2 linked regions of the Sus scrofa genome follow. The protein of the gene in region 2 purifies or fractionates together with the protein of the main gene of each other region. This does not show direct contact. Links are inferred from orthologs where the notes say so. Each region holds a gene or a part of one and is shown on either strand. Other genes may lie near its edges.

Evidence for each region.
Region 1: the proteins of ZFYVE16 (region 2) and TOM1 purify together in Homo sapiens (affinity purification with western blotting; 3 studies listed by BioGRID and IntAct, with this or other methods). This does not show direct contact. The link is inferred for Sus scrofa from reciprocal best matches to the Homo sapiens genes ZFYVE16 and TOM1.

The regions. Positions count from the first base shown.
Region 1 is NW_018084968.1:1,845,543-1,855,895, forward strand, and holds the start of TOM1 (target of Myb protein 1), read left to right. Parts: upstream 1-4,566; 5' UTR 4,567-4,751; coding exon 4,752-4,803; intron 4,804-7,053; exon of another isoform or gene 7,054-7,200; coding exon of another isoform or gene 7,201-7,216; intron 7,217-10,353.
Region 2 is NC_010444.4:89,040,961-89,051,554, reverse strand, and holds the start of ZFYVE16 (zinc finger FYVE domain-containing protein 16), read right to left. Parts: upstream 6,696-10,594; 5' UTR 5,795-6,695; intron 1-5,794.

The sequences.
Region 1 (10,353 bases), on a different chromosome or scaffold from region 2:
AAACTCAGTTGTACCTCCAGACCCATCACTGACCATTTGCCTTACCTGTGTCTTACCGTCTGACATGTAATGGGAAAGAATATGGGAAGACGTCAGTTTACTGAAAGTACAAAGCTTTTCAACTTGAAGTGACCTAGGTGGGAGGTGATACCATCGTCCCCATCTTAATGGTTATTGTGATGGCCTAAGTGAACTTAGTACAGGCTTCATTCCAATTCCTGCTGTACCGGTGTCCATGTCTCAAAATGTATTGTAATTACTGGTACCGTTGGCAGCCATAGTAGGGGCCAAGGCGTTCTGTGAGCCCTGGAGAGGGTAAAGCTGTCAGTGCCACCAGTTGAACGGCATATATTGTTAGCTGACCCAGACCATCTGGTCTGCAGAACTAAGCGCTGGTGTCTTCCGTTGGCAGTGTTAGCTTAGCTCACAGTTCTGCTGCTTAGTTGCTTGGTGTTGTGGAAGGTGAACTTTGCCCAGCCTGATTCTTGGGTTCATCTCATTGGCTTCCCTGCTGGGCAGATACACAGCGTTCTGCATTCCACACGTGAGCAAATTGCAAAAAACGAAAAAAAAAGTACTCTATTCTCATGTAGGTTTATTTATGTGCGCGTGTGAATGTGTGTTTTAATTATGTGTATTTAACTCTTAAACTCTTAGATTTTAATTTATCCTGTAAATTTCTGTATATATAATTTAAAAACAAGAGCCTCCACCAGCAACAGCATGTGGAAGATACAGATTTGTCTTTTCTTCCTTCCTTCCTTCCTTCCTTCCTCTGGTCTCCTCTGGAAACTCCAAATCATCTATACTTTAAGGTATCATGCCTCAAAAAGGAATCATTATGTTGGGATTCAAATTCTTTATAATTCAATAATGTCAAGAAAGTAAAATAAAAAGGAACGTAACCATTCCCAGATGCCCTTATTTCCAAAGAACCAGACTCTTGCTTCCTAGATGCAAAGAAGACAGTTGAGCGCTTAAGGGTTGTTTATACATTGAGTGTGAGGTTCCACGTCACAACTCAGCTCTGAGGTAACTGCTTTCTTCCCGTGGCCTGGTCAGAGCACTGCAGCATCACGATACATCAGCCAGCCTGCATCCGATTTCATTGCTTCCTTCCCACCGGTGTGGTCACAGGGCTGTGTTTCTTAAAGGGATTCTGGTTACTGAATGCCTTTCTCACCTCAGAGCAGTTTTGAGATTTAATTGGGGGAAACAGGAATGTTTGGGAACCAAAATCAAGAAGAGCAGAAATCTCGGTTTGGTCTTGTGCATTAGAACCTGTGCCACACCGCCTCCTCTGATCCCATGTCAGGTTCCTGTCTGACACAGGGTATCCAGGAAGAGCCTTGAGGACATGGACTAGTACAAAAAAAGAAGTCAGTCCTACCATTGTCATTTGTGCACATCAGTGAAATCCTGATGAGGACCTGCTTTTTCGTTTGTTTTCCTTTACAATCCAACCCTATTGTATTTGTATTTAAAATTTGTACACATTTGTATAATAATCTGTTCCTTGTGGTATTTGGTACTATTAGAGGAAAAACTTTGGATTCAGACCTTCTTGCAGTTTTTATATCATTGTTTTATTTTGTTTTTTAAATAAATTCTAGCGGTTTGATCCAAATCCCATTACAGTTGTATAAAGAAACAAAATTTTGTACTTATATTATTAAAAATCACATTTTTAATATTTGTAGTCCAGTGTCAGCTATCTTTTCCCTGTTGCTAACCAGAGTTGCTATGAAATTTTAAAACTGGTTTTCACACTCCAGCCTACCATCATTTTCTTAAAAAGGAAACCTGTCAGGAGTAGAGGTCAAGTTTCTGATCATAGCCATCTTCCCACATCTTCTCTGTGTCTCTCTCTCTTTGTGTTATGGAGTCTCATTGTCTCGCTTTTGCAAATTACAAACCCAGTGGCTCTGGCAGTAGCTCTATTCATTGGCAAATGAAATTGTATGTACATTACAGTATTGCCCCAACTCAAGAAATATTTATCAGTCTTGTATAAAAGTCACATCCGGATCCTGCGCTTCGGTACTGTCCTGACTTGGTGGTTGATTCTGCGCTGGATAAATCACTTAATCCTCATAAGCATCTGAAGTCCCATCTGTAAAGTAGTGGTAATGTCACTTCCCTGTCTCGAACCTTGCAGCCAGCCAGCCTAACATGAATGTTTAGTGATACTGTGAACATTCAATATATGAGACGTGACCTTTCAAGGTAAAAACCTCAGCGCAAACACGAAGTGTTAATAGTCACAGTGCAGTATTATGATTGATTGAAGGACTCGCTTCCTAGGGAGAAGCCGCCAGAAAGAGACCGCCATAGTGCCGAATGAATGACTAGAATGATTTGCATGTTTTATCTCACTTAATCCTCCCCAAAGCCTCATGAGTATTATCGCTCTTTACAAATGAGGAGACAGAGGCAGAAACATAAAGTTTTCCTAAGTTTATACAGCTAGTAAATGGCAAAGCCAGAATAAGCACAATGGTACAGCTGACCCAAAAGCCACTTTCCAAGTTAAATTGTATATGTAATTCATCAGAATCCTCCATTCTCTGCAGTCCTGAGCAAATGTGGTTGTAGGAAATCTATGAGACCTTTCTGTTGTTCAAATGTCCTTTTGCCCTAGTTGGATTTTACTACACAGACCTCATTTTTCTGGTCATACTATTGTCTTTGAATTTTGGAGGCAAAGTATCTTGATTTTTTTGTTGTTGTTGTCTAAAAATATTTAAAGGATATAATCGATTAATTACATTTATGCAATATGTCGTTCTTAAGGGACTTAAATATTTTTATCCTCAGGAAGGCATTTGATATTATATTGCTAAAACATTTAAAAGGAGAAAAATTAAAACAGATTTTTTTACTAAATGAGGTTGTTCCCTGTTAGCAAACATTTTTAAAACAGTTTTAATTGGTTTTGTACTGCACTTAATGTTTGCCATTTACATTCCTATCCATTTTATTGTGAAGTCCACACACTTCCACTTCTAATTTAATAGCCATCCAGCATTCTGTTTGCATGGAGTTAATATGATTTCACTCCCTGTTAGAGGGCACGTGGGTTGTTTCTGTTTTGTTTTGTTTTTTACCATGAAGGATGTATGGCTGTTTCATTCTCGGCAGTAAAGCCAATATCTGCCCATAATCATTTTAAACCAGAGTGATTCAAGAAGGCAAGTACTTCTGGTAAATCACCACCCAACAGGGGGATGTTAAAACTTGTTAATGGAAGGATCCAAAGGAAATTCATGCTAAATATTCTATACACCCAAGCAGTACACCTAAATGAAACAAAAACATGAAAGCTACCTGACATGAAGTTCATCGTAAATGTACATTCCCCCTTATAGTCCAAATACCATTACTGAGAGACTGATTGAAATTTTCACGTGTTAGTCATTGCGCTAGATGCCAGTGGCTGGGATAGACACAGCCTCCGTGCCCTCATGGAGCATCAGAGCACAGGAGTATCTCTGTAAAGGTTTTGTATTGTACAGTAATGATGTCTGCTCAAACAGATTAACCTCTATAGGTTCTCTATCATCAGAAATGTGTGCAGCTTACTAGCCTTTCAAACTTAGAATTCACAAATATCATGCTCAATAAATACTAAAGCACCCTGCCGTAGCCCGGACTACCAAAGCAGTAGTTATTGTATCTTTTGGAGTGCCTATCATTAGAAGGGGAAAAACAAACAAACATAACCTGTAGTTCAGATATCTAATGAGTAGGCAATATAGCTGAAACATGGCACACAAGAAGGCTGAAGAAGATATTAGAATTACAAAGCTGGGAAAAGCCTTTGAGATTTTTGGTTTGGGGTACACTGCTGTACCTCAGGGACCTTGGAAACCCAGAGATCAAATCGTATCTCTCTGCCTTTTTTTCTTCTGAAAGGCTCCACTGCTTTCCACATTTCTCAAAGGAGCCTGTGACCTAAAAAAAAGAGTTGAGTCCTTGATCTAATTGCAGAATCCAGAGAAAATGGAAGCTTGCTGTTTGAATCACACAGTAAATGAATGACAGAGATGGGTTCCAGGACCCACTCCTGACATCTGTGTGCTTTCTGCCACCCTGAGCTCTAGCCCATCCCCAGCTGCAATTCTTTGAGTTGGCTCTCGGTGTCAAGGCGTCACAAACCCCTGGCCCTTGCCTCCCATTTGAGAAGTAAGGGAATCTGGGCTGCAAGCAAGATACGTCTTGCAGCCAGGAGACCTCGAAGAGAAGAGTCTTCTCAGGGCAGGGAGACCACAGGCCAGAGAGGCTGTCAACCCCAGCGGTGGTTGTGTAGTCATAATGAGGTCCTAAGGGGCTGAGACTAAAAGCAAAGGCTATGGGCTCAGCTTGCTGGGTAACCTCACACAAGCCATTTCCCGGGTCTGAGGCTGGGTTTTCCGGGTCTGTTGAGATCAAAGGACCACGCCCCTAAACTCAGAAAAAAAATGGAGGGCGTGGCTTAGGGGGACACACGTCTCAAGACCCGCAGCCGCCCTACGTGGTGCGTGACGTCCGCCGACGCCGAGGAAGCCGCAGTGAGGTCATCGCCCTCCGCCTTCGGGAGCCGACCGACCCTCCTCGTCAGGGGCGGGGCCTGCGGCAGCGCTCCTGGCTCCTTCTGCCCCGCCCCACCCGCGCCTCCCCGAGGACCGTCCAGCGCGTCACGTGACGGGTCGGCGGCGCTGGCGGTTGCTGTCAGCTGATTCCCCGGCTTGGTGGCAGCGGCAGCCGCGGCAATGGACTTTCTCCTGGGGAACCCGTTCAGCTCTCCGGTGGGACAGCGCATCGGTGAGTCCCAGGGCTCCGCCCAGCCTCAAAGCAGGGCTCCGCGCCCGTCCCTTGCCCCCCGGGGTGCCTCCAGGTCCCCAGTCACACCCCAGAAGGAGGCTGGGTGGGGAAGGAGGAGAACGAGGCTGGCGAGGCTAGCGAGGCTGGCCTGTCTGTCCCGAACCTGGCCCCGCCCCTTCTCCCGCCTACTTTGATTGACAAAAGCTGCGGTCCATTAGGGAGCCTTGGCTTGTGATGAATGCCCACGGCAGCCAATAGGTAAAGAGAGAAGGCGGGTCAGGGCCTCCGTGTCTTGGCCAATGTGAGGTTGTTGGGGTCGCGAATCCAGGGAGAAAGTTTAGGGGGTTAAAGGGACTGCGTGGTTTTACAGCCTTTGGGTCCCTCCACTGTTCCCCTGTTGCTTCCCCTACTCGCGTCAGCCGGGTGGGCTCTCGCCGTCTCCTTCCTGGCGCTCCAGGCGCTGCGAACACGGATTCCTGAGAAGAGCTGGAAGTCCCTTTTCCCAGGACCAGGGCGCGGGGGCGGGGGTGGGGGGGCGTTTAGGCGGGCAACTTGAGCAGGGGGGGCGGCGGAGAGCCCTGCTTCCTTTGGGCCCAGGGTAGACGCTGGGGAACCCGCTCCGCCAAGAGGCCAGGCCTTTGAAAGCAAAGCCTCGGAACGTGCCTGCCTTGGCCTCGCTCGCCGGCCGGCGTCAGATGGTCCGCATAGACCCGCAGACTCTGAGCTTAGAGTGATTTTAGGAACCACCTGATTCGGCCTCCTTCATTTCTCAGTAGAGGGGAAGGCCAAGCTCTCTGGCTGAGACACAGGCACACTCAGATCTCCTGATTCTCTGGCCTCCTGTTGACGGGAGACTTACTAGTTTGTGACGTTGCATCTGTGTACGGAGGTTTCCTCACCTGTGATGAGGGGATAATAATGGTCCCCACGGATTGCTATGTAAATTAAACTCGTTAATACATGTAAAGTACTTAGAACACTGCCTGGCACGTGACCGATGCTATTTTAAAAAAAAGTAATATTTATTATCATTGTAACTGAGAAACCACCAAATGAGGGGCAGGAATTCCTGGAAATGGCTGGCCACTCGGTCTTGGCTATTCATTCCTGCGCACCAATGCAGGGAGGGCCTACAGGCCATCACCCGAACAGCTGACACTTCTCCAGGATAGTCTGGGCGTGCCTCGTTGCATGAAGAAACCGCGGCAGTACTGTGAAACTCTCCATCTTCTTGATGGTCTTTAGCCTTGAGTCCAGACCGGGAAGATTGGATCTTTGAGGCAAGACTTTCTTTTACATGGAAACCAAACCTCACTTCATTCTGTTAACCCAGCTATGTTGAAATTGCCCCCGTGGCCGTTTGTGGCTCTTCTGAGGTTTTGTAATCAAATGTCTTCAAGAGGAGCCTGAAGGTCAAGAATTTACACACCAGGAAGCTCCTGGACCAGAGAGGGGAAGCTGCCACCTCAGGACCACTTGCCCGCCGCACCTACTACTCACCCCAGTGAGTCATTGTTTTGAAACAGAAAAGAGAAGGCAGCTCTTCCCTCATTGTTATTTTTGCAACTGCAGATACTCCTGCTTTCATCATGTGCCAAGTTCCAGGGTTCTTATCCCCCTACCCTCCCTCCCCAAAATCGAGACTTCATGATAGTCAGCCACATATTCCTGAGGCTTTTTATAGCAAAGCTCACTTGTACTCCCTGCTTTAGGTTGTCAAAAGAAAGCAGCTCCTCTTTTTACCCTGAAAGGTTACCTGTCTTGGGCAAGAAATACTCAGTCCAAAGAGCATGGTACTAATTCGTCATACCTTAAAGCACAGAACAAGTCTTACTGCAGGAACAGTCCTTACCCTGGGGCTCTTCTGACCCCAGGCTTTCCTCAGAATCCACTGGGAAGTCTAGTTAAAGCAGTGAAGGCTGAGCCCCACCTCCAGAGTATGTGACTCTGTAGGTCTGAGGCAGCCACTGGATTGAAAAACCACACGTTGAAAACCTTGGTTCTAGCCCGTCCCCTTCATTTCACTCAGGAGCCTGAGGTCCCGAGAGGGAAGGTGGAGGCCAGGACTCACCCAAGACCCCAATGAAATGATGGAAACGCTGATCTGAATGCCCCAAAGCCACTGAAATATGAACCAAAGCTGAAGAGGCTCTAAAAGTAGAAATGAAAAATGTCTACCATTTGAGTTATGCCCTCAGTACTCCTTTGCATGCTTTTGCTCTTTTTTCTTTCTTTTTTTTTTGGATAAAGACGCAACGCCAGCCTTGATTGCTTGTGATTACTATTGACCTAGTATCAGCTGCCTGGACTTCCGTAAACTGCAGGGACGAAATAATCTCTTCTCAACCCTGCCGGCACCCCCTGTTGAGAGTAGAACCCTGAGCACTGTGGATCCTCATGGTGCTAAGCAGGGGTGAGTGTCACTTGACTCGAAGTCTCCAGCCACCCCCACACACCCTCTTTGTGCTTGCTGCTCTCTCTGCCTGCAATGCCTGCTCCGGTGTGCATCCTTCAAAGCCCAGGCGTCATCACCTCCTCGCTGAGGGCTCCTCTGTCCTCTTCAGACCCAGCCATTGCTTTCATGCCCTCCCATCAGCCTCGCTCCATAGGATTCTTGGCTCTCTGCCTTTGGGCTTCGAGCCTCTGCTTCTTCCTGGGTGGAAGGGTGGTTGTAACCATATCCACGTCTCAGGATGGCTGAGAGAGCGAAGTAAGAGCTCCCTGGAGAGGGCCCGGCCTGCTGTGAGTGGGCAGCAAACACCATTATCACTTTTGTTATTTCCACCGTCATCACACTAATAAAGTGCCGTCTCACTGTTAGTGGTTGGGCGTGTCTCCCCTGCTGGACCAGACTTCCTGAGAACAGGTGCCGGACCTTAGATCCAGCCCCTTGGCACTTCGCATGGCACCTGGCACATAGTAGGAGGGAAGGAAGGAGAAAGAAAGGAACCGTGTGTGAGCAAAGCCAGGTGCCATGCTGGTATCCCAGCCCTGTTGTCCAACTCAAGTTCATGTGCCTGACGCACGGTAAGGCTAAACACAGCAAAACGTAGAGGAGCTTGGAGCAGAGAAGGGCTTGTTGCAAGGGCCAAGCCAGGAGAGCGGGCTGCTCATGCTCAAAAGCTCTGAAACTCCCCACTGGTTTTCCGGGAAGAGTTTTTAAAGGCAAAATTGCGGGGAGGGGAGGGCTGCAGGGTGTGTGACCTTCCTCGGACTGGTTGGTGGGGAGGGTACAGGGCGGTGCTCCAGGAATCTCAGTCCTCAGCCTTCTGGTTCCGTCCCGGCTGGGGTCTGCGGGCTTGTGCTCCTCCACCTGGCCGGGGCCCCAGCTCCTGTGAGAACCCAGAGATGTGGATCTGAGGGTTCAGGCTCCTGAAGAGGAACTAGGAGTCTGCCTTCTTGCTGCACTATTATTTCTTGACTGCTTTTCCTTTGTTCTGTGTCCCCTCCCTTCCCTAATTAGTAGCTGTTTGACTCTGCCCTTTGGAACTCAGGGAGGGTCTAGGCGGCTGAAACCTTTTTTCCTACAAACGAGAAACAGGGAACACAGAGAAGCTTTTGTACCCGGAAGGGCCTTGGAAGACCCTGCTCCGTTTCAGTCCCCGCCTTTCTTTGATGCTCTCCAGTCTGGAGGGGGAACAGGTGTGGGAATGGAAGCTTTAGGCAGAGGCTAAGCATAAACTCGGCAAAAGAGCTCAGGTTTAGTGGGATTCGGTTTCAACCCTACAAAATTTTGCTATTTTTCTCCCATGTCACTAAAAGTAAGTGAGGAGGAAACTATTCCTTCCCAAAGTTGCCCAGCCCATTAGGGTCGGGCCCCAGACCCAAGTGTCTCTGGCTGCAGACCCCAGGTCCTCTCTGGCACTCTCACCACCCTGCCTCTGGCTGATCATCGCTTAGCTGGAATTTGCAGCCACCCAACCCTCCAACTAATACAGTTCTGTTGGATCCACACACTAGCTTTTCTGATTATGACACACATCTAGGTCTGTGCACATTCCCAGGTCACTCACCTGTCGACTGAAAAGAAAAAAATACACAACCTAAACGTTGACAATTATGTTTTATCCGAGGAGCTTACCAAGGACCATAGCCTGACTAGCAGGTGGCTCGAGGGTCTGTTCTAAAGAGGTAAGGGAGGAGTTCCCGTCGTGGCGCAGCAGAAACAAATCCCACTAGGAACCATGAGGTTGCAGGTTCAATCCCTGGCCTCACTCAGTGGGTTAAGGATCCAGCATTGCCATGAGCTGTGGTGTAGGCCGGCAGCTGTGGCTCAGATTAGACCCTTAGCCTGGGAACCTCCGTGTGCCATGGGTGCGGCCCTAAAAAGCAAAAAAATAAAAAATGAAAAAAACATAAAGAGGTAAGGAAGGAGCCAGGATACAGAGGTGTTTTGCCCCATGTAGCTGAACATCAAAAGATTAATGCTAATCACAAGAAAACAGGCGTCTCAAGTTAATGATTTCAGTGCTTTTCCCTGTATGGGAAGATTCAAGAGCCTGTGCCTTTTGAAATCATTCCTTTGATAGCCATCTTAACTATCTAGGGCCCGTATCCTGTTTTTCTCTTTTCTGATTTCCCCTCAGGGGCTGCAGTGGCTGAGCTTGATGGCCACAGTTGCCTTTGTGCCTGACATGGCAAATGACATTTTTGTCCACTTACCCTTATCTATTAGGAGAGCTTCCCGCTGGCACAGCCTGTGGCTGAAAGGATCCCAGAGAGCGAGTGGTAGCTGGTATTGACGTAGCCCTCTTCTTCCAAGGATTTTCAAACCCTTTCCAAGTATTCTCTGAGGACAGATTGAACTGCCTGGGTTTTATAGAGAGAGGTCAGAGGGCGAGCCAAGAATCTCATTTTCCGCTTCTGGTGTCAGCTCACCCCTAGCACTTTGAGCTGAGACATACCTGACCCCCTGAGAGCGAGCTGCAAAAGACAGAGAGTAAATGCAGGCAGCGCCTGGGGAACAGCCCCCCATGCACGCCCCCCCCCAGGAGTTGGGGGAGGCGGGGCGGGCCAGATGTGATGGGAGAAGAGCCCAGAGCCTAAGACTGAGGGGTGGACAGGAGAGGTGAAAGGTCAGGGAGAGCCACCCTTAGATCCACGAAGGCCAAGCCAGGAGGCCGCCAGAAGGCATCGTCGATAAGAGGCCACAGGCACGAGCAGGGAGAGAACACCTCGGGACCTCTGGGGGCACCACGTGGGGACCGATGAGTGAAAACCAGACTGGATACTCAGGCAGTGTTGTCAGGGGACACCAGGCTGGGCGGCTGGAGCTCCGAGTCCTGCTCCAGTTCCACTACTAACTATGTCACGTTCCTTCGCCGCCGCCCTCCCCTAACCTGTAACCCAGAGGTGCCACTTGCTCCCTCTGTTTCCCAGAGGATCAAACCTTGAGAGGATGAGTGAGGACAGAGACGGACTGACACCGGAGGGAAGAATGGGATGGCCCTTTCGGAGGAGCGCTCAAAGCGGGGAGCGGGCTGCCGCGGGAGGGGTCGGGCCAGTGCCAGCAGCCGGTCCCGGCGCCCTTCTCCCCTCGTGAGCTTCCCG
Region 2 (10,594 bases):
AGGGTTCTGTGAGAGAATTAAGTCTTAATGCACTAAAGCATCCACTTCTATGTAATGAATAAAAATCCCTCCTTTGCATCTAAAATGTTACTGCAGTTAGTCCTTGAACAATGGGACTGGGATGCTTACTCTTCATGAAGTTATGGATAACTTATAGTCGGCCCTCCCTATCCACAGTTCCTCAGTATCTGAAGTTCCGCAGGAACTTGGATTCAATTAAGCAGGATCGTGTAGTATTGTAATATTTATTTACTATTGGAAAAAAAGACTACATATAAGTGGACCTGCAGTTCAAACGTGTGTTGTTCAAGGGTCAACTATAGTTATAAATCACCCTTGGGGGAGTTGAGAAAATAGTTACTCCTATTATTTCCTGGGTTTGTGATTTCGATGAAGAACACTTAGAAAATAGAAAAGCTGCTTTTGTAGAGTGGGATTCTGGGGAGAAAAAGATGAGGGAAAAGCACTAGTGTTTTTCATCATAAGCACTGTAGTATTACTTGACTCTTTAAATTATGTACAGGTACCCCTTTGATAAACATAAACATAGTGTCGAAAACTGAGAGTTCCCTGGGGGCCTAGTAGTTAAGGATCTGGCACTGTCACTGCTATGGCTTGGGTCACTACTGTGGCAATGGTTCAATCCCTGGCCTGGGAACTTAGGTATGCTGCAGGGATGGTCAAAAAGAAACAAACAAAAATAGCAGAAAGTAATAAAGGAACTCAATATCAAACATATTTTTAAAAAAATAAAGCATAGGAGTTCCTATCGTGGCACAGTGGAAATGAATCTGACTAGGAACCATGAGGTTTCAGGTTTGATCCCTGGCCTTGCTCAGTGGGTTAAGGATCCGGCATTGCTGTGAGCTGTGGTATAGGTCGCAGATGTGGCTCGGATCTGACGTTGTTGTGCCTGTGGTGTAGGTCAGCAGCTACAGCTCCGAATAGACCCCTAGCCTGGGAACCTCCAAATGCCACTGGTGCAGCCCTAAAAGGACAAAAGACAAATAAATAAATAAATAAAGCATAGAACTAAAAGGTATAGAAACAGTTCATTAGAAAAAGCCAGATGGAATTTATTAAATAACATCTACTGATAAAGTATTTCTATCTAAATAGCAATATACTACTAAGCATTATGTTATCTGAGGCACTGAAAAGACACCAAAAAACCAGTAAGATAATTAAATAATAAATCAATCTAACAATTTCTAAAAGGTATAACACTGAAATCTTTCGAAATGAAATCTTACTAAGCTGCACATACTTTCCATTTCAATCAACCGATTTACTTACAGTGCTAGTAATCTATCCTGTACAGAAGACACAAAAGAAATACAAGATATACTCTCTATTCTAAAGTTTATTTATGTGTGCCACTTCCATAGAAAAATATCTAATATATAATGTTAAAAGACAAAAACAGCAAATTGTAAAACTTCATTCATAGTACATAGTACAAACCTAATGAGCCACAACAGGAATTCCTGGACCCATTTTTATAGTAAGTTCTAAAAACATATATACAGTATTAGCAAACATATACATAGTATTAGCAAGACAGAAAAAAATAGAGGCGCAAACACCAAACTATTAATAACGTTGTCTGTGATTATGTAAGCTTTTCACATCTATATTTTATGTCCTTATAGTATTTTTTGTTTTGTTTTGTTTTGTTTTTTTGCCTTTTCCAGGGCCACACATGTGGCACATGGAGGTTCCCAGGCTAGAGGTTTAATCGGAGCTGTAGCCACCAGCCTACACCACAGCCACAGCAATGCGGGATCCGAGCCGCGTCTGCAAACTACACCACAGCTCACGGCAATGTGGGATCCTTAACCCACCGAGCAAGGCCAGGGATCAAACCCCCAACCTCATGGTTCCTAGTCGGACTCGTTAACCACTGAGCCATGATGGAAACTCCTTTATAGTATTTTTTAAACAAAAAAATACTACTTTTATAATCAGAAAAAAAGATAATTTCTTTCTTTTCCTCCTAAAAATGATAATTGGGCACATAATATGAACAGGCAGCTAGTAAGATTATGAAAAAACATTCAATGTACAATCTGCACTATCAAAGTAACACAAATTATTTATTTCTTTAATTTAAGGCCACATCTATAGCTTATGGACGTTCCGGGGCCAGGGACTGAATCTGAGCCACAGCTATGACCTGACCTGCGTCAGATCCTTTAACCCCTGTGCTGGGCCAGGCCCCCAGGGATCAAACCCCCACCTCCACAGCAATCCAAACTGCTGCAGTCAGATTTTTAACCCACTGTGCCACAGCAGGAACTCCCAAAGAAATGCAAATTAGAACACATACCTTACTAAATCTGAATATAACTTTTTTTTTGTCTTTTTCTCCTTTTAGGGCCAAACCTGTGGCATGTGGAGGTTCCCAGGCTAGGGGTCTAATCAGAGCTGTAGCTGCTGGCCTACACCACAGCCACAGCAACACAGGATCCGAGCCGCGTCTGCAACCTACACCATAGCTCACGGCAACACTGGATCCTTAACCCACTGAGAGAGGCCAGGGATCGAACCCTCCACCTCGTGGTTCCCAGTTGGATTCGTTTCCACTGTGCCATGACGGGAACTCCCTGAATATAATCTTTTTAATAAGAAAAGTCTTCAAAAAAATAATAAAATTCTTCAATGTTTGTAAGCATCTGATATAAAGAGCATCTCAGATACTGCTGATAGAAGTAAACTGGTATCCTCTCTCAGGGGAACAATGTAACAATATGGATCAATGGATTCAAAAAGATTCCTAACATTTGATCTAACAGTTCTCTCTTTAGACATTCAATTTAAAAATTCAAAACTGAAAATATACAAAGGTATTTCACCAAATTATTAATTGAAAGAATCTAAATACCAACATTACAACACAGAAAATCATGGAGGCATCATAAGCCATGTTTATGTCTATTAAAACTTTTTTTTTAAAGAACAAACTCTATGACCTAGCAATTCTACTTGTAGAGAAACACTAGCACTTACACACAAGAACAACACATCACAAAGAATTTTCAATGTTACAACATTTCAAATAGTGAAAACTGCAAAGAACCTAACAGCTCATCCAAGCAAGAATGGTTAAATCAGGAGTTCCTGTCGTGGCGCAGTGGTTGACGAATCCGACTAGGAACCATGAGGTTGCGGGTTCGGTCCCTGCCCTCGCTCAGCGGGTTAACGATCCGGCGTTGTCGTGAGCTGTGGTGTAGGTTGCAGACTCGGCTCAGATCCCGCGTTGCTGTGGCTCTGGTGTAGGCCGGTGGCTACAGCTCCGATTCAACCCCTAGCCTGGAAACCTCCATATGCCGCGGGAGCGGCCCAAGAAATAGCAACAACAACAACAAGACAAAAAAAAAAAAAAAAAAAAGAATGGTTAAATCAGCTTTCTGAAACTGTGGTCTGAGGACCCCCTAAAAGAATCCAAGAGATTTTGGAAGAGTGAGGTCCTTCCTGTACGAAATATTTATCTGTACAAGAATGGATTTTCTTTTCTTTTTTTTCCCCCCCTTCTTCTTAGGGCTGCACCTTTGGCACATGGAAGTTCCCAGGCTAGGGGCTGAATCAGAGGTGCAGCTGCAGGCCTACACCACAGCCATACCAGATCCAAGCCACATCTGCGAACTACACTGCAGAGTACAGCAACACCAGACCCTTACCCTACTTGAGGGAGGCCAGAGATAGAACCCCTACTCTCAAGGACACAATGTCAACTTCTTAACTCAGTGAGCCATAACAGGAACTCCTGGATTTTCTTAATACTTCAGCCTAAACAAAGAAGCAAAGGAGACTGAAGGGAAAAGCAAATATGAGAATCTGTTTCCTATAAAGCCAGGCATTAAAGTCATCTCAAAAATATGAAAAACTGTTCTCACTAAATTTTTAAAAGAAAATAGTTACTTTAAACAATATTATTAATTCAATATATAATATAATGGACTTATTATTTTTTAAATAAGTACAAAGTTTTAATTATCTTAGTTTTAATTTCTAAAATAGCATATACACTGCATTAGAAAACAGAAAATCTTTCAGTCCTCAAAAACTTTTAAGTGTATAAAGGGGATCCTAAGACTCACTGGATTAAATAAACTGTGATACCATCATATTATGTAACATTGTAATTGGGGATGATAATTAAATAGGAATTTAGTTTTATCTGTAGTGTAAGGTTTTTTTTGTTTTTGCTTTTTAGGGCCACACACCTGGGGCATACGGAAGACCCCAGGCTAGGGGTCAAATCAGAGCTACAGCTGCCGGCCTACACCACAGCAACAAAGGATCTGAGATGAGCCTGTGACCTACACCACAGCTCATGGCAACACCGGATCCCAGACCCACTGAACAAGTCCAGGAATGGAAACTGAATTCTTATGAATATGGATTCTTTTCCGCTACACCACAGAGGAACTCCTCTGTAGTGTTAACTGTTTTGAAAGATATTTTGCTCATATATCACTTGTGTAATCAAAAATCATAAAGTTATGTTTATGAAGTTTTCAAAAAACAGGGGAATGCTTAAAAATAAAATTTTTTCTTTGCTTTTTAGGGCAGCACCCTAGGCATATGGAGGTTCCCAGGCTAGTGGTTGAATAGGAGCTACAGCTAAAGCCTAAGCCACCGCAAGGGATCCGAGCTGCTTCTGCAACTTACACCAGAGCGCACAGCAACGCCCAGTCCTTTAACCGAGTGATCTGGGCTAGGGATTGAACCCCTGACTTCATGGATACTAGTCCGGTTTGTTTCCGCTGAGCCATACGGGGAACACCTTAAAATATAATTTTAAGCAAGAAAAACAGGCAACCTAACTGTCTATAAATTATAATCTCATCTTAATTAAGAAAATGCCATGGGAAAACTGAGAGGTAAAAAGTCAAAATTAACTGGTGCTGAATATCTTTAAAGTGGAGTTACAGTTGATTATTTTTCCTTATTCTTTATTCCATTTAAGTTTTGGACAATAGTGTCCAGGGGAGAAAAGGGGGACGAAATGAGGTGAAAATTATCAAACCACTCAAATTTTGCCAATTCAAAAGCTCAAAATAATAAAGATCCTCAAACCACCTATTTTGTTAAGTGAAAAATATTGTTATCAAATTTATGAGCTGGTTTCCATACAATCAAATTAACAAGAACACCCTCAAGTCTGAATATGCAATCACGGTAGTACAAATAAGTTAACAGTTAAAAGTTAGGTCATCTTTTACAATTTTTCAAACGTATCAAAGAAAAGATAGTGGAAAGGAACACTACCGCGTCCTTCTGGTCAAAAACGGTAAGACAATACGATGGTGCGGGGAATGGGCTTTGCGAAACTCGGGCGCCGATGACAGATTCGTCTGCCGGTGCCGAGACCTTTCAGCGCAGGGGCTACCAGCCCCTCCAGCAGACGCAGCCCCTTCTCTAGCCGGGATGGCAGCCCTGGGGGCGCTTCACCCAGCACCAGCCGAGAGCGGGGGTCGCCCTCTCCCCAGCGCCGTGCACTCTGGGAGGCCCAGGTGGGCGGGACCCGGCAAAGAACCGCCGTGATTGCCATCCTGGCCTGGTCCGCACCTCCCGGCTTTAACGAGCGGCAACCTGGTTTGAGTCTTTTTTCCCGGCCAGCCCAGGGGGCTTGGGAAAGGGATGAATCGGGGGCCCAGGCTTGGCCCCTAGAGGGACAGGAGGGCCAGCCCCGGCGCCCAGGGCAGAGAGACCAGCGGCCACCCTGCTTTCTCTGTGAGGGCAGCAGGGGCGAAGAGAGGCCAAGACGCCTGTTGCAGGGGGCACTTACCTCCCCACACCCCGGCGGAGCTCTTTGACGCCTGGACGCGACACCGCGCAGAGGAATGAAGAGCGACGCCGGCCGGGAGTGCAGGGAGCGCGGGACGTCGGCTCAAGGTTTGTTTCCACCACCTTCCCTCACCCGCAACTGGGGAGAACAGATAGCGCAGGCGCAGAGGAAGCTTTCCTTTGACTCACACGCCCCCTCGGTCCGCGTCCGCGGCCTCCCTACTCGCGAGGCGCCTGCGCGCTGCGATGCGGGATCTAAATCCCTGGGCGCTGGGCTGCTTACCGGAAATGCCTGAGGCGGTTCTGGGGTGAGGGGGACGACGGAGGATCTTCTGTAGTCCTCGACTCGGTTTCCCACTAGAGGCCCCGGGGCAGGGATCCCGAAGCGACCAGTGTCGGTGGCCTGCTTCCTGTGCCCTTCGCTGACCTAGACACAGCTTCCCCGCCCCCAGCCTCCGCGTTCACAGGGCTGGCGCAGAGCTCGGGCAGCTCGGGCCTGTACCGGACACACCCGGCCTGTTCTCCGCGCTGCTGTCCTCCCGGAAAACCTTTTTTTTTTTTTTTTTTTTTTTTGCTTCATACTGGTTTTGCAACCAGCTCCCCCTCCGCCCCGGCAGCAAAAAAATGCTCCTAACCCACTGCAGTGCCTCAGGCCCTCCAGCTGATTGGCCATTCCCAAGGGCTCAGTCTTTCCTTCTGGTTGTTTTAGTTCTGCTTTTCTGGCAGTGGTCGGAGAACAGCTGCCTTCCTGTCTGAAAACAAAAGCTAATTAATCTGGAGAAGCAAATGTCAATCATGTGATGCATATTTGTGCTTGTGTTTTACTATTTTCACCAGAAGTTTCCTATAAATTTAAATGGAAGAAGAGACGTCTGTCTGGGGCCAGGGTGTCATTACAGACTGGGGAAAAGAATCCACCACTTACCGAAAGATTTTAACCAGCTCAGAATTCATACTGGTCTTTAAAAATGTCAGAGTTGTAGTATCTCAAGAGTATCGCAGTCAGATGTAATTTGAATCAGTGTTCAAATCCCAAATCTTGAACTTGGACAAATATAATTTGTGATCTTTCAAAGATATTTTATCTTGATTTTCCTCAGCGCTGAAATAGTGTGGTTTTGCTTCAGTGGTGAAACTTCTTTTGATTGATTAAAATAATTTATTGAGCATCTGCTATGTGACAGTGTGTTAGATGCTTTGCTTAGGTTATCTCGTTTATGTTTAGCTTAGCTTGTTTAATCCTAAAAATAATTACACAAAGCCCAGTATGCATTGTCTCTACTGTGCCCAGTGTTGCTCCCAGATAAATGAAATGGGGTCACTACCCTTGAAGAAACACAGCAGAGATGCCTGTGTACAAGTGCATATTTGAGGTAAAAATATTCTGTTGCACAGTGTAAGGACAAAGACTAGAAATAGAAAGTAATAAGGCCTTAAACAGATAAGTGGGAAAAGTATATGTACGAATGGTCAGTTCACAAATTAAGAAATTTAAATGCCTACTGCATATTTTATTAATGTTAAAACTCATTAATAATGAAAAGAAGACAAAAGAGACATTATTTCCCTTGGATCTAATTGGCCAGGTTGTTTATATTCTGAAGAAACTCCATTGGTGGGGATAGAGTGAAATGAGGACTCCTATCTTCTTGGGGATGTAACTTAGAACAAAATTTGGAAAGTTACTTGTCAAATCGGATAAAGAAATGTTCACATGACCTAATTCAGTAACTTCTCTTTTGGAAATTATAAGGAGCTATTTCAGAATACAAAGATTTAGGAGTTCCTGCTGTGGTGCAGGGGTAAAGATCGTGCATCGTCTCTGCAGTGGTTCAGTGGCTGCTGAGGCATAGGTTCAACCTCTGGCCCAGAAACTTCCATATGCCACAGGTGCAGCCAAAAACAGTAAACAAGTGGAGTTCCCATCGTGGCACAGTGGAAACGAATCCAACTAGGAACCATGAGGTTGCAGGTTCAATCCTTGGCCTCGCTCAGTGGGTTTCCTTGGCCTCCCTCAGTAGGTTAAGGATCTGGCATTGCCATCTGTGGTGTAGGTCGTAGATGCGGCTCAGATCTGGCGTGACTCTGGTGTAGGCCAGCAGCTGTAGCTCTGATTAGACCCCTAGCGGGGGAACCTCCATATGCCACGGGTGCGGCCCTAAAAAAATGGCCAAAAAGGCAAAAAAAATAAAAATAAAAATAAAAAAACAAGGATTTAGATGAGTAAGAAAATAAACAAGTTATGGAAAACTCAAATACCTTTCACATGTAAATGCAGTTGTACTTTGTATCACATTTATTTGTTTATGGGAGTTTCCGCTATACATTGCTTTGTGCTGGGAGATGTAAGGACTACACAGATAATTTATTATTTTTGCCCATAAGAAGTTCACAATCGACTATGTCATTATCTCTTATTAAGATAAATAATTGAGAGATTGCTGTGATATAAGAAAATTACAAGACCTTCGTATAGATTCTTGGTCAGTTAAGTTTTCTGAGATTTCCTTTGTCTATTGAACTGAAGAAGAAATCTACACACAAAATGCAATATCAGATCAAATATTAAGGAAAAAGAGTCTCTGGCAAAATTTGAGTAATAATTACTAAAACATTCCACAAATCATCTTTCACCTAAAGATCCTAGTTTATAACTAAATGTTTTCTAGACTTGAGAAAATTATCCTAGTTATAGAATATTTGGCTGAGGTATTCTTTATGCCACCTAGTCATTACTTGGATCATCAGCAGTTTTTATTTTCAAAGGTAACTAGAATCTTTATGATCTTTGTTTGTTTTGTTTTTGGGGTGTTTGTCTTTTTAGGGAGGAACTGACGGCATATGGAGATTCCCAGGCTAGGCCTACACCACAGCCATAGCAACTCAGGATCCAAGTGGAGTCTGCAACCTATACCACAGCTCATGGCAATGCCAGATCCTTAACCCAGTGAGCAAGGCCAGGGATCGAACCCGCATCCTCATGGATACTAGTCGGGTTCATTAACTGCTGAGCCGTGATGGGAACTCCAGAGTCTTTATGATTTTAAGATGCATAAATTCCATTGTAATAACTTCCAAAGCTGTTCCCTTTTCATAAATAAACTGGGTGGAGAAAATACCAGTAGCAAATAAAGCTATTACAATTATTCATTTGTTTCATGGCTGGTCTTAAACTAACAAGCAATGATAGAACTAGGAATTCATTGCTCAAAAATACAGAATGTGACCTGCATCTTTTAGTTAACCATTAGCACTTAAAGTGCTATAACACCATGTTAAAATATCTGTGTTTCAAGGAAAAGCCCTAACACCTTTTTAAAGAAATTTTCTGCTAGTCTAGTGCTGGTTAGATCAGCTATTTGGAACAATGTCTCTAAGGAAGAAATGGTTATAGTTTTGGTGACCATGAGAGCAAGTTTGTTTGTTTTTGCTTTTTAGGGTTTCAGGCAGGGCATATGGAAGTTCCCAGGCTGAGGAATCTGAGCTGCAGCTGCAAGCCTACGCCACAGCCACAGCAACTTGGGATCTGAGCCACCTAAACCACAGCTCAGGGCAACACTGGATCTTTAACCCACTGAGCAAGGCCAGGGATTGAACCTGTATCCTCATGGATACTAGTTGGGTTCTTAACCCTTTGAGCCACAATGGAAATGCTAGAGCTAATTTTTTTTAAATGCATAGAAACGGCTTGGAAGGAAATCCAGTAAAACATTAGCTGTGACTCTCTTTGGAAGGTAACATTATGGGTGATTTCTCTCTCTTCTTTCTAATGCTCCATAGTTTCCAAGTTTTTTTTTTTTTATAATGAGAACATATTACTTTAATGATCCAAAAGGGGAAATGGAATAACTCCTTTTGAAAAGTATTGCTGAATTTGTAATTCAGCCAACTAATTACTTTACACTCATTATGCAATCTCTGCATACAATGTATTGCATGACTGTGAGTCATAAGAGAGAAGTAATGCATAAAGATTGATGATGACTTTTGTCTGGACACTGTCTTAGGGGTGGGGCAAGGTACTGTCATTCCCAGGGCTCAAGTTTGGTACAGCTTCAGCATCATGCACACGTTCTCTTGTCAATCGGATCAGAATTCTTTTTTTTTTTTTTTTTTTTTTTTTTTTTTTTTTGCTTTTTGGGGCTGCACTCACAGCACATGGAGGTTCCTGGGCTAGGGGTCAAATCAGAGCTACAGCTTCTGGTCTATACCACAGCCACAGCAACGTGGGATCCAAGTCACGTTTGCGACCTACACCACAGCTCAGGGCAATAACATCCTTAACCCACTCATTGAGACCATGGATGCTAGTTGGGTTCATTACTGCTGAGTTATGATGGGAACTCCAAGGGGGTCAGAATTTTTTGGTAAATATTTCTAGTTCTTCTCTCTTCTGGAGTTTTGATGGCACTGTACCTCCTGGCCCCTGTGGCAGAATAGGGCCAGATGACTGTTTTATGCAAATGAACTGTGAGAAGCGACTTTCTAGACTGGATTTTTTACTCACCAATGTGAGGCACTTCAGAGCCTCCTTTCCCTCTGGCATAGCAATAAAGACTTGATACAGTGGCTTCTCTATTAATCTGGTTCTTGAGGAATTCCAGAGCACTTCTCGAGCTAGAAATCTGTGCCAGGGAGATTTTTGGCTGATTTGTTACAACATATCTGCCTGTTATGACAGATAAGCTTTGTTTTATACCTCTGAGCTATGGGCCTGGCTATTCCAAATGATACCCTGGGACAGTACCTCAATAAGACTTCTGTGGCAACATTGTTTCCTAATGCATTTTTCCTTCACAAG